3 linked regions of the Elephas maximus indicus genome follow. The protein of the gene in region 3 purifies or fractionates together with the protein of the main gene of each other region. This does not show direct contact. Links are inferred from orthologs where the notes say so. Each region holds a gene or a part of one and is shown on either strand. Other genes may lie near its edges. The genes, in order: KLHL15, COPS7A and COPS5.

Region 1 (3,751 bases), on a different chromosome or scaffold from region 3:
TTCTTATATACCTGAATCCTCATATAATTCAATTAATCACACCAAGGGAGAAGTTAAAATTACTTGCCAGTGATCAAGCACGTCAGGACTCCAAGTTATTCTTACCTATGTTAATTGTGGCTTGTCTGCTGATGACTTCGTGTGAAAGGGGTGTCAACTTGGCAACATCCTGCAACGAAACATTTTATTATAAACCACTGCACAGAAGACAAAACAGGGTTTTCCATCTGACTTTACGTTTGCTACCTATAGCTCATCACCATCTGTACAGCTCTCTATTACTTCTGAAGCGCTTTTCCCATACAAGCAATCTTGTGCTCTGATGACTGGAAAGCCCGAAGCACCCCTAATCGTTACACAACAAAAGACTACGCCTGCACTCTATGAGAAATCAGGAGGCCCGAGGCCCCCAACTTTGGAAGCTTTAGCACTGAGGGCCGTGGAGATGCTCCCTTCCCAAGCCTTCAGAGTTTGGTCAAAGCCTTAATGACACTCCGTGACGTTCCATCCGAATCCTTCAGGAGCTCGCGGTCCCACGAGCGCGCACACCCACAGCCAGCTCGCAGACCGGTCGAAGTGCAAGCGGTGGCGCGAGCGCGACGCAGGCCGCTCGGATCCGGGGCTCCCTCCTAACTCAGGCTCCCGACGGCCCGGCACTGCCTCGCCCCAACGCCTCCCGGGAGGCATGACCATCCCCACTCCCACGCTCACTCCGCGTCCTCCCAAAGCGAAACCTCACCAAGGTGGCGAGATCCTGGCTAGAAAGATGTGACTGCCCCAGAGTCACTCCCGCCTCGCCCCCCGCCATCTTGCCCAGAGAGGAAGGAAGTCGGCCAGGCTGTCGGCTGACAACACGCAAGCCCTCTGGTGAGGGGCGGGGAAGTCGAGGCGGGAAGACAGACCAGGGCCCAAGCCTAGCGAAGGCGGATGACCCATGCAGCAGGGACCTCACTGCTTGGACTTCTCTCCGCTTAGGCTCATTCAGTGCTAGTCGGCTTACTAAGAAACACAATGCAAAGTGTCGGGATCTACTAATCGCAGAACTGTTGGCTATTTGGGCAGGCAACATTTAAGGCAGCTCCAGAAAAGGTCCTTTGGCCTGGAGGGGAACGTAACACGACGCTCCGCGCTGGTAAGGGAGAAGCTATTTCCGTTTCCGGGAGCGTTGCCCGAACCGGTTTGCCGAAACTTGAGAATTTTATCTGGGGTGTGAAACTAGAATATAGAGAGACTGTCGTTATTTACCGATTCCTGGGTACAATTTAATAAGGCGAAGTCGGCTCGGGATCCGCGCTGCCTGCAACGGTGCTCGTGGCTGGGAGGAGGCCGCGTGCTGAGCGGGCTACGCTCAAGGCGCCGCGCGTCGCCTGTCAGGCTTCGGGGAGGGCGCCCTCGCGTGGAGGTTAGGGGAAGGGCTCAGGGGCGCCCGGATAGGAAAAGCAAAGTTCCTAAGTTGTTCCCAGACGGAGGTCTCTAGGGCCTTGAGAGGTGGTCCGTGGTGGCACTAGAGTGCACTCCGAAAGGATTTTGCTTCGGGGAGAAGCTAGGTGTCATAAGAGCGCCCAAAGTAAGTTTTTAAAAAAGCAGGTCCAAGAAAACCCACTTCTTTAATGGGAAGATTACCAATCGTCATTTTAAAATTTAAACAATTTTGAGACTCAAACCTTTTTTCATCGCGTGTTAAAAAGAAGTTGGGTGTTTTTTGTTTTACTCCATACATTTTTATGCTTTGCAGTTTTTCTGTTGTAAACAGGTATTCATTATTAACTGGAAAAAAGATATAAGGAGAGGTACATAAAAATTTAGGTTATATGTACCCATTGAGTACTTAAGATTAAAATGAATATGTGTTTTATATAATAAATTTTAGGTACAACGGTTTACCTAAATAGATAGCTGTGTTTCAATGAGTGCATTCACTGGCTAAGTGATGGTGGAAACTATGCTATATTGTACTTGGATGGTGATGTTTAATTCTTATTTATCTTAGCTTCTAAATAGTTATACCAGCCAATTAAGAAAACCCGTTGAGGTGGTGAAAGAGTTCCAGAATTAGATAGTGATGGTTGCACAACTTTGTGACTGTAATAAAAACCACTGAATTCTATACTTTAAAAGGGTGAATGTTATAGTATGGAAACTACATCTCAATAAAATAAAACTCATTGATAATACCTAGAAAATAACTAAATATTATGCTTCATTGTCAGAAATTTTTATTGGAAGTAAAAAGGCACAGGAAGCAATAATTAATTTCAAATTAATGAAAATAGTGGTTAAAATTATTGGCACCTAAAATTGTTGACACCTACTTACCAAATATTGGTTTAATCCTCACAACAATCCAGTGAAGTTGTTAGGTGTCATCAAGTTGATTCCGACTCACAGTGACCCTGTGTACAACAGAATGAAACACTGCCAGGTCCTGCATTATCCTCACAGTCTGTGCTATGTCTGAGCCTGTTGTTGCAGCCACTGTGTCAATCTATCTCCTTGAGGGTCTTTTGCTTTTTTGCTGACCTTCTACCAAGCATGATGTCCTTCTCCAGGCAGGCACTGGTCCCTCCTGATAACATGTCCAAAGTACATGAGACGAAGTCTCACCATCTTGCTTCTAAGGAGCATTCTGGCTGTACTTCTTCCAAGACAGATTTGTTCATTCTTTACTGCAGTCCATGGTATATTCAATATTCTTCGCCAACACCATAATTCAAAGGCATCAATTTTTCAGTCATCCTTATTCACTGTCTGTCTTTCACATACATATGAGGCAATTGAAAACACTATGGCTTGGGTCAGGCATGCTTCAGTCCTCAAAATGACATCTTTGCTTTTTAACACTTGAAGTAGGTTGTTTGCAGCAGATTGGCCCAATGCGCGTGTTGTTTGATTTTTTGGCTGCTGCTTCCATGGGCGTTGATTGTAGATCCAAGTAAAATGAAATCCTTGGCAACTTCAATCTTTTCTCTGTTTATCATGATGTTGCTTATTGGTCAGTTGTGTGGATTTTTGTTTTCTTTATAATGAGGTAGATACTATTATTCTCATTTTACAGAGGAGGAAACTGAGTCCCAAAAGGCTTAGGTAACATATCCAAGTTTCCACAGCTAGCAGCAGAGCTGAAATTCATAGCCAAGTCTGAGTATACTTTTTTTATATACTGTTTTTTTAATTGGCTTTATTGAGGTAAAATTTACGTACCATAAAATTCACCTGTGTTAGGTATACAAGTCAAAGATTTTTAGTAAATTCACAGAGTTGTACAACCATCGCCACAATCCAGGTTTAGAACTTTTCACTCACCACAAAGAGATCTCTGGTGTCCATTTGCAGTCCGTCCCCATTCCAACCTCAGAGACATTCTGTGTATATAGATTCGCTTTTTCATATAAATGGAATCATGTAACATATGGTCTTTTGCCTCTGGCTTCTTTCACCTTGCATATTGGTTTTGAGGTTCATCCATGTTGTAACACATAGTAGTAGTTTGCTCCTTTTTATTGCGGAATACAATTCCATTGTATGGATGTACCACATTTTGTGTATCTGTTCACCAACTGATGGATGTTTCAATTGTTTCTACCTGTTGGCTATTATGAATAATGCTGCTGCGGACATTCGTGTACAAGTTTTTATGTGGACATGTTGTGGTATGGTGAATTACTTAATATGGCCCTTCTAGCCATAGTCTTTGTAACTCCCACCAAATGACTAGGTGGGACTATGCAGATGAGGTGCCTGTGACCCACCA
Region 2 (3,751 bases), on a different chromosome or scaffold from region 3:
GGGCTTGTTTCCACCCCCAGGCCTTTTTGCTATTTCCCCAATCCACAACGCCCTCTTCCTCCATCTGCTATTCAATTCCTACCCTAAATTCATGGCTAAAAATATTGAGTGCCCACTACCTGAAGGACACACAGCAGACATTGCAAATTGTGTTGTCTGGCCCTCTGAGTATGCTTCATATTTCTAATCAAGATTCCTGCCTGAGCCTCACTCATCCTGACAGCTACATGGCTGAGGCAGGCATGTGAATTTGTGGCCTCTGCTTCAGACCCACCTCACCTGGGAGGCTTACATCACCCAGTCCAGCCCACTCAGATGTCCTCTCCTCCTACCACTGGTACTTCATCAATCAACCTCCACCTAAGCTTGTTACCTAGCAATACCTTTCTTGTCAACAAGATTATAGGCCCAATCTCTGGTATTCCGCTCAGGATCTAGCGGAGCTATGCATGTAGTTGCATCTTTCAATAAATACTTGCTAAATGAGTGGCTTAGAGACTTATATCCATTCATCCTATCTCTTCACCTGGAATGTAAGCTTCAGAAGGGTAAGCACTATGTTTTGTACTTTTCTGGTGTTCCCAGATGACTAGCAGAGTGTTAAACAGGCACTCAATAAATACTTCTTCCACTGCAGAGGAAAGCAGGGAAAGAAGGTAAGAGTTTTCTCTGTACCACAGAGTGATCCTAAAAGGCTAAATCCATTGACTCAATCACAGGCCTTCAAAAACTTGCTTCAGTTGGTCCACTGTCATAGCATCTTAGGACTTGAACAGTGTCATGTATCTTGGCAACACTCACTCTTTTTAAACTCTTAACTTTCCCACTGTATTAGTAGCAACTTGCGATATCTTTGGGAGAAAAGACACCTTCTACGTTACCTACCTCAAATGAACAGCACATGGTGCAAAGGAGGGAGAACAGGGCATACTAATTTAGTATGTTCACTCCTCCCATCTGTACCAGGCTTTATGCTTTCCCATAATCTCACTTGATTCCCACATTAACGGTAAGGAAGGCAATATCATCAATATCATCTCCATTTTCAAGAAAGAAAATAAAAGTGACCTGATCAAAGCGATATGTTTACTAAGAGATACTACATTGGTGGAGACAGGCTGGAACTCAGGTCTCCTGTTATGAGTCACGTGCTCTTTTGCTTAAAAGTCAAAAATACTGGATTTTACAAATCCTTCATCTCACAAGGGAAGCTTAGAAGTTTACCTGCTTGCTTACTTTTGCAAGCTGCCATCATCATCATATTCGTATTCAACTGAATGGTTACATAGCTGCAAAATGAGCATTACCCACCCATTCTCAAATTCAAACTTTAGCCCCAAGCTTCACTAAGAGCTATCCAGGCCAGGAACCCACCTCTCTAACGTTGGGCATATCCAGCAGTTCCCCAAAGACATAGACACCAGGGGCCTCCAGCACCTGGTGGATGAGTGTGGCCAGTGCTGCCCCCTTGGCCGACTTGGCCAGAAGCAGAAACTGCTCCTGGTTCTGCCCTGTCACCTTCACCTCCCCACTCATGGCTGCACTGAGTTGGAGGCAGCTGGGCTCAGGATGTCTGGAGCTGCAAGGAAAGACGTTGTGAAGCTGGAGGTCTCTGAACGCTGGCAGGATGGGAAGATCATGGGGGTAGGGCTGAACTGCAGAGGCACTGAGTCGCTTCTACAATGAGGACTCAAGAGATAGAGTGGTTAGAACGGGGATCTAGGAATCCTAAAGCTGGTCGTTTCGATGGGAACACGAATGAGACAGGAATGCCACACCTACCTTCTCCCCCGACCCCTGGGCGCTAACCCCAAGCCTCACCACGTGCATCCCATTGAACCCCAAGGCACAGGTGCAAAGGGGAAAGGAGTGTCACATGGTGTCCACCCCACCAACGAAGATCCCTCGATTCGCCCCTTGTGCCCCCAACCACGTGACCTTACCCCCACGCCCCTTACGCGTGGCTCCGCCCCTCCTTAAAGAGGCCTCCCTGGAATCGTAGGGTCCGGACGACTGCCCGTCCTACCCTCGGTCAGAGTCTGTGGGCCGCTACCTGGAAGCTTCGTCTTCCAGCGCACCGGGCGGGGCCGCGGCTCCGTCACCTCCGGCAGCTGTTCCGAGCCTTTCCTGCCACCTCTCCTCCCAGGGTCGCTCTAGCTACTAAACTCTATGGACGGTTTCCGACCGTACTTCCGCTCCTAGGGGCAGGTTTCGGGCGGGACATGCTGGGCCCTGCTTTCCGACCATTGAAGCTCCAGTGAGGGACGCAGGCATCCTACTCTCTGATTCGTTGCAGGGAGAAGAATGACTTGTGCCTTTTTTTTTTTTCCACTGTTTCGATAAAACTATTGGTGAAAGGGCGGTGGATGCTAAAGGTAGACAACCTTCGATCCCTTTGAGTGTCGGGCTGTGTGTCAGCTCTAAGCTGTCGGAGGCCTGGAGACCCAGGGTGCAGCTTGTGCCTAGAGCAAGAGGGAAGCTGTAGTGGAAGGAAAGAGGGAGAACGAAAGAAGAAAAAACAAAAAACGGCAGGATGAAAGAGGAAGGGGGACAATAATAATAGAAGGTGAGCGGCAGAGATCACCTGGGTCGTTCAACCACTAATTTTTTGAGGAACAGGGGAAAAGAAGTAGAAAAGGGAAAGGAAATAATAAAAAAAAAAAAAATAGCTAACATGTATTGAGTGCTTATTTTTGTTTGAGCATCTTTTAAATTTTTTATTCTGTTGAATTCTTAAAACTACTGCCTTCTCAGTCAGACTCCGGGACCCCCTCTGCCCTGAGTACAACATGTGCTTGGAGAGTGACGCTTTCCATACGTTGACTCTTAATTCCTGGAGGGGGGGGCCCTACGTGGAAGAGAGGCATATGTTGTTATTCTCATTTTACAGATAAGGAAGTTGAGCTTCAGAAAAATTCAGGGATTTGCCTGGAACCCAGGTCTTTTCAAATCCAAAGCTGTCTTTCCACTTCACCTTGATACTTTAGGGGGAAAAAAAAAACCCTGAGATTTCTTTAGGAGAAGTAGTGGTAGTGAGTGGATGAGATGAAACAAAGTCGAGAAGGAATAAAAGGCATAATAAAATATGCAAAGTCTGAAGGGACCAAAGAATTTAATGAGCCCAATCTTATCACTTTAAAACTATAGGAGAAAAGAACCAACATTTGTTCTATTATATACCAGGTGTTTTTTGGATCGATTTTTTAAAAAAGACGCTGTGTCTTTACAGAAAGCATTTAAGGTGCCTATTAATATCTCACTTTACCTGTGAGGACACTGGATCATTAAGGAACAAATAATTTCTTAAAGATCACCAGTAAGTGGTAGAGCTAAGATCCAAATGCGAGTCTGTCTGATTCTAAGACTATGTTAAGAAACGGAGGAAAGAAAAGCAGAGAGGAAAAGAGAAGAGAGGAGGAAATGGACAACCTGAGATACAGTCCTGATTCAGACTTAAGCTAGCTGGGGCCTTAAAGCAAAGCATCATGCCACCTTGTGATCTCTTCTGTACCTGCGAAGTGAGAGATTATATGACAGAATCTCTAAGGCTAATTTTGATTCTGATGTTTTACAGCTCTATGAGAGAAAGACAAGAACAAGGAGAAAAGAAAATGAGGAACAGTTACTAAGTAGAACAAGAGGTGAATGTGGAGAAAGAAATGAGAGAGGGCTGGACTAAAGAAGTGAGGTTTAAAACAGCAGAGAGAACAGGAAAAGGAGTAGAGGTGATAAAGACAAGATAAATGAATAG
Region 3 (3,751 bases):
ATGGAATAATGTATATAAAGTACATAGCACAGTGCCTGACACATACTGAAACTTTAGTGTTACTTAACTCTTATTAGAATTATCAACCTCTCTGTGGCACTACCAGGAGCCCTGGTGGTACAGTGGCTAAGAGCTCGGCTGCTAACCAAGAGGTCGGCAGTTTGAATCCACCAGCTGCTCCTTGGAAACCCTATGGGGCAGTTCTACTCCGTCCTATAGGGTTGCTATGAGTCCAAACTGGCTCGATGGCAATGTATTTTTTTTTTTTTATGGCACTACCAAAGAACACTGTATTGAAAGGTATGTTTCCCTCTGTGCTATAAGCCTCAAAATTAAAAATGTAGCCCTAATATTCCTAGTTTCCTTATGATCGTTATTCTAGAATTTGTCATCTGTGGATGGAGCTAAACAACTCTTGAATAAAATTACATTTCTGGTCTCATTGATGAATCCCAAGATGTTAGGCTGAATTTAATTAGAAATATAATCAGTGAGGCAAACCAATACAGTTTCCAAATGGACTACATCAACCTTAAATGCACAGCCTGCTACAGAAGTAAGCAGACAACAGGCAACGTAAGAAGTCTGAATAGAGCAGTCAAAGTCTCTGAGAAGGCTTTTTAGATGACCTCCCACAGAAAATATTCAAGTTTAATTCTCAAACTTTGCCAGATTTCAATCACAAGCTGAAAAATATGGAGACCTAGTCTTAGGAATCAGAGACATGAATTAAAATCTTGGCTCCTCTGTTTACTGGGGGGAAAAAAAAAGAAGGCACAGTTAATGTGCTCCTGTTACATACATTCTAGACCCTTTTTATACATTACATGATATAATCTTTATTAAACCAACAAGAGGTAAGTCTTATCTCTGTTTTATAGAAAAAAATTGAAGACTCAAAGAGAATAAGTAATTTTCCCAAGGTCAATCAACTAGTCACTGCCAACTCTGAGATGTGACCTTGAGTTGTGTTCACTGCTCAGTGTCATTGTGAGGTAAGTTACTGAATATATTTACTTGTATTCTTATTTACAAAAAAAGAATATATAGCACTAGGTTGTCAGGAAGATTAAATGACATATGGAAATTCCTACCTAGCTCAGTGCTCGGCTCTTATTAGGTACTCAGTAAACACTGCTGAATCTAGATACTGTCAATTAAAGCCAGCCTTGTACAAAACTGGGGAAAAAAACCCAGTGCCATGGAGTCACTGATGGAAATATAGTTTCTGTGGGTGACCACAGCTCTCCTTCTTATCTGTCCATTGTTAGCTGCTATGGAGTAGGCCCAGACTCAGTCACATCATGCACAATGGGATCTGACCATTGTGATCCATAGGGGTTTCTAGTGGTTGGTTTTTCAGTAGTAGATCTGCCAGGCCTTTCTTTCTAGTCCATCTTAGTCTGGAAGCTCCACTGAAACCTACTGAGCATCATACCAATATGCAAGCCTTCCCTGACAGATGGGTGGTGGCTTTGCTTGAGGTGCATTGGTGCGAATCGACACAGGTCTCCTGTGTGGAAGGTGAGAATTCAACCGCTGCCTAGATAGTAACTTTCTGTGTTCTTTTTACTGTCTATCAAAATCTTCCCTCAGGAAAGTATAAATGCTATGATGTGATGAACACTCGACTTGTCTTTATTCCCAGGGATACATCTACTTTGTAAGAGGCAAAGTGGCTTAAGCTCTTATTGATATAATTTCTGGTTTATGGTAAGTGGTGCCTGGAGTAATATTTGGGGAGATTGGGTGCCTCTGACATTACTACCAGCAAACAAAAACTATTACACCTCTCTAAAAGACAGCTCATAGCTATTTTAGAGACGGCTCCAGTCACCAGCTGGCATCAGCCGAAGGCCCCACCTTGGTAAATGTCCACACAGGTTTCATGGCAGAGTGTGTGGCATATATGATAATATGGATGCTGAGACGTGTCAGCCCAAATCACCGCTTCTCATTCCCCACCTCCATCCCCCGGAGGTAAATGGGTCAAAGAGACAGAAGGGGGAGTCGCGGCAGGCCTCAGCGGAGGAACTTAGGCTCTAGCAGCAGAGATAAAGGTAAACCGAAATCTCTCAGGTGCACAGTCCCTCCCCTCCCAGACCATGAAAACACAAGGCAAAGCTCTCCACCCCCTTCAACTCCCACTCCCCCTGGGCCTCCTCTTAAATCCCCGCCGCCCCTTCCCTTCCCAGCGTCTCGCCAGGGACTTCCTCACTCCTTAGTCCAGGGCTTCGCCGCCAGGATTTCCTGCTGCTGTTTCTTGTCGTATTTGTAGATTTCATCGATACTCTGAGCTTCTTGCATGTTGTTGGCCAATTCCCAGGTTTTCTGGGCCATACCACTCCCAGACGCCGCCATGGCCAAGGAGTCGGAGTTGTTGCCTCCACAACCAAGACGCAACTTTACCCCACTAGGTCTCGGGGCGAGGGCTTCCAACCCTCCCCCCTCACCGGTCTTACACTCTTACAAGACTCTCGAGGCTGCCATGACACCTAGAACCGGAGGTGAAGGTGGTACAGACCATTCGGGGATGGCGGGGGCCCTTCGGGGAAGCGACGGTATAAACAGCAGTTACAATAATAGGGAAAGAGAAATATCCTTGTGGCTGAAATGAGAACATATCCACTCGAAATTAGAGGTGTGAGTTAGAACAAACACAATAATCGGGCTTGGGAATGGTACAGCCTTCCACACCGGAAGAAGGTCATGCACGCGTTATGCCAGCACTTGGAATTAGCCTTCTTTGTTGGTACTGCGCAGGCTCGATCTCCGCCATATTAAAAATGGGTAGGGCCTCAGCCATAATAGGGGGAAAAAGTGTCTTTGTGAGGTTGTAGGTTATCTTAAATAAGATAGGTTCCCTGAATAACTAAAAAATAAGGATGTCTGTGGAAGGCTGAGATGTACCTAGTTCCGGATGCTGGTTGAAAGGAAGATAAAGTCATCCTGTTTTACTTCAAGATGACTAACTGCACATGCGTAAAATGAAGTGGGCGGCTTGGCGCACCGTTTTCAGATGCACGTCCTCTAGTGTTGGGAGTAGGTATGGAACCATGTGGACTTCAGTGGTTGTCCCTCTTGGCTTGTTTGTAAAAATTAGCATCTGTATTCAATGTATTATGAGCTAGTTACTGTCCTGAAAATGTCCAATACTGTTTTTATAATAGATACAGTTATATCTTCAATACCATTCTGTGAAACCTCTTCTGACCCTGAGTCCGAATAAAATTTTAGCAACCTGTTTTCTTCCAACAGTTAATAATAAAAAAAAAAAAAACCAGGTCTAATTATTCCGTTTATTAGTTTACTCGTTTTAGGTCAACCCCACCCTCCACCCCAACCCCGATTCTAAGTTCCAAAACGGGGGACCGGGTCTGTCTTATTCCTTGTTTTATCTCTAACACCTAACATACTGTTTTGTGTCTTGGAGTGGATTCCAACTCTAGCGACCCTGTATGACAGAATAGAATCGTCCCATAGGGTTTCCTGGACTGTAATCTTTGTGGGAGCGGATCGCCATACCTTTTCTTCTGCAGAGCGGCCGGTGGGTTCAAAGTGATGACCTTTTTGGTTAGCAGTTGAGTCTTCAACCACTGTGTCATCTTGGCTCCTTCCTAGCATATTAGATGTTCAGTAAATTTTTGTTTAAAAAAAAAATATTGTTAAAGCTGTTCACCTGGTTCCTCTGCTCCTCTTTAGCTTCATCTCTCTTTAGTCTCCCCCCCAAAAACTTCTCGTTCTTAAAATA

Evidence for each region.
Region 1: the proteins of COPS5 (region 3) and KLHL15 purify together in Homo sapiens (affinity purification with mass spectrometry; 3 studies listed by BioGRID and IntAct, with this or other methods). This does not show direct contact. The link is inferred for Elephas maximus indicus from reciprocal best matches to the Homo sapiens genes COPS5 and KLHL15.
Region 2: the proteins of COPS5 (region 3) and COPS7A purify together in Homo sapiens (affinity purification with mass spectrometry; 19 studies listed by BioGRID and IntAct, counting the BioPlex papers as one, with this or other methods). This does not show direct contact. The link is inferred for Elephas maximus indicus from reciprocal best matches to the Homo sapiens genes COPS5 and COPS7A.

What each region holds. Positions count from the first base shown.
Region 1 is NC_064846.1:155,089,980-155,093,730, forward strand, and holds the start of KLHL15 (kelch-like protein 15), read left to right. Parts: upstream 1-895; 5' UTR 896-1,132; intron 1,133-3,751. Other genes in the region: EIF2S3 (eukaryotic translation initiation factor 2 subunit 3), read right to left, coding at 106-169, 740-808. UniProt on the Homo sapiens protein: Substrate-specific adapter for CUL3 E3 ubiquitin-protein ligase complex.
Region 2 is NC_064822.1:63,482,481-63,486,231, reverse strand, and holds the start of COPS7A (COP9 signalosome complex subunit 7a), read right to left. Parts: upstream 2,166-3,751; 5' UTR 2,027-2,165; exon of another isoform or gene 1,944-2,026; intron 1,580-1,943; 5' UTR 1,537-1,579; coding exon 1,375-1,536; intron 1-1,374.
Region 3 is NC_064833.1:75,497,665-75,501,415, reverse strand, and holds the start of COPS5 (COP9 signalosome complex subunit 5), read right to left. Parts: upstream 2,644-3,751; 5' UTR 2,362-2,643; coding exon 2,219-2,361; intron 1-2,218. UniProt on the Homo sapiens protein: Probable protease subunit of the COP9 signalosome complex (CSN), a complex involved in various cellular and developmental processes.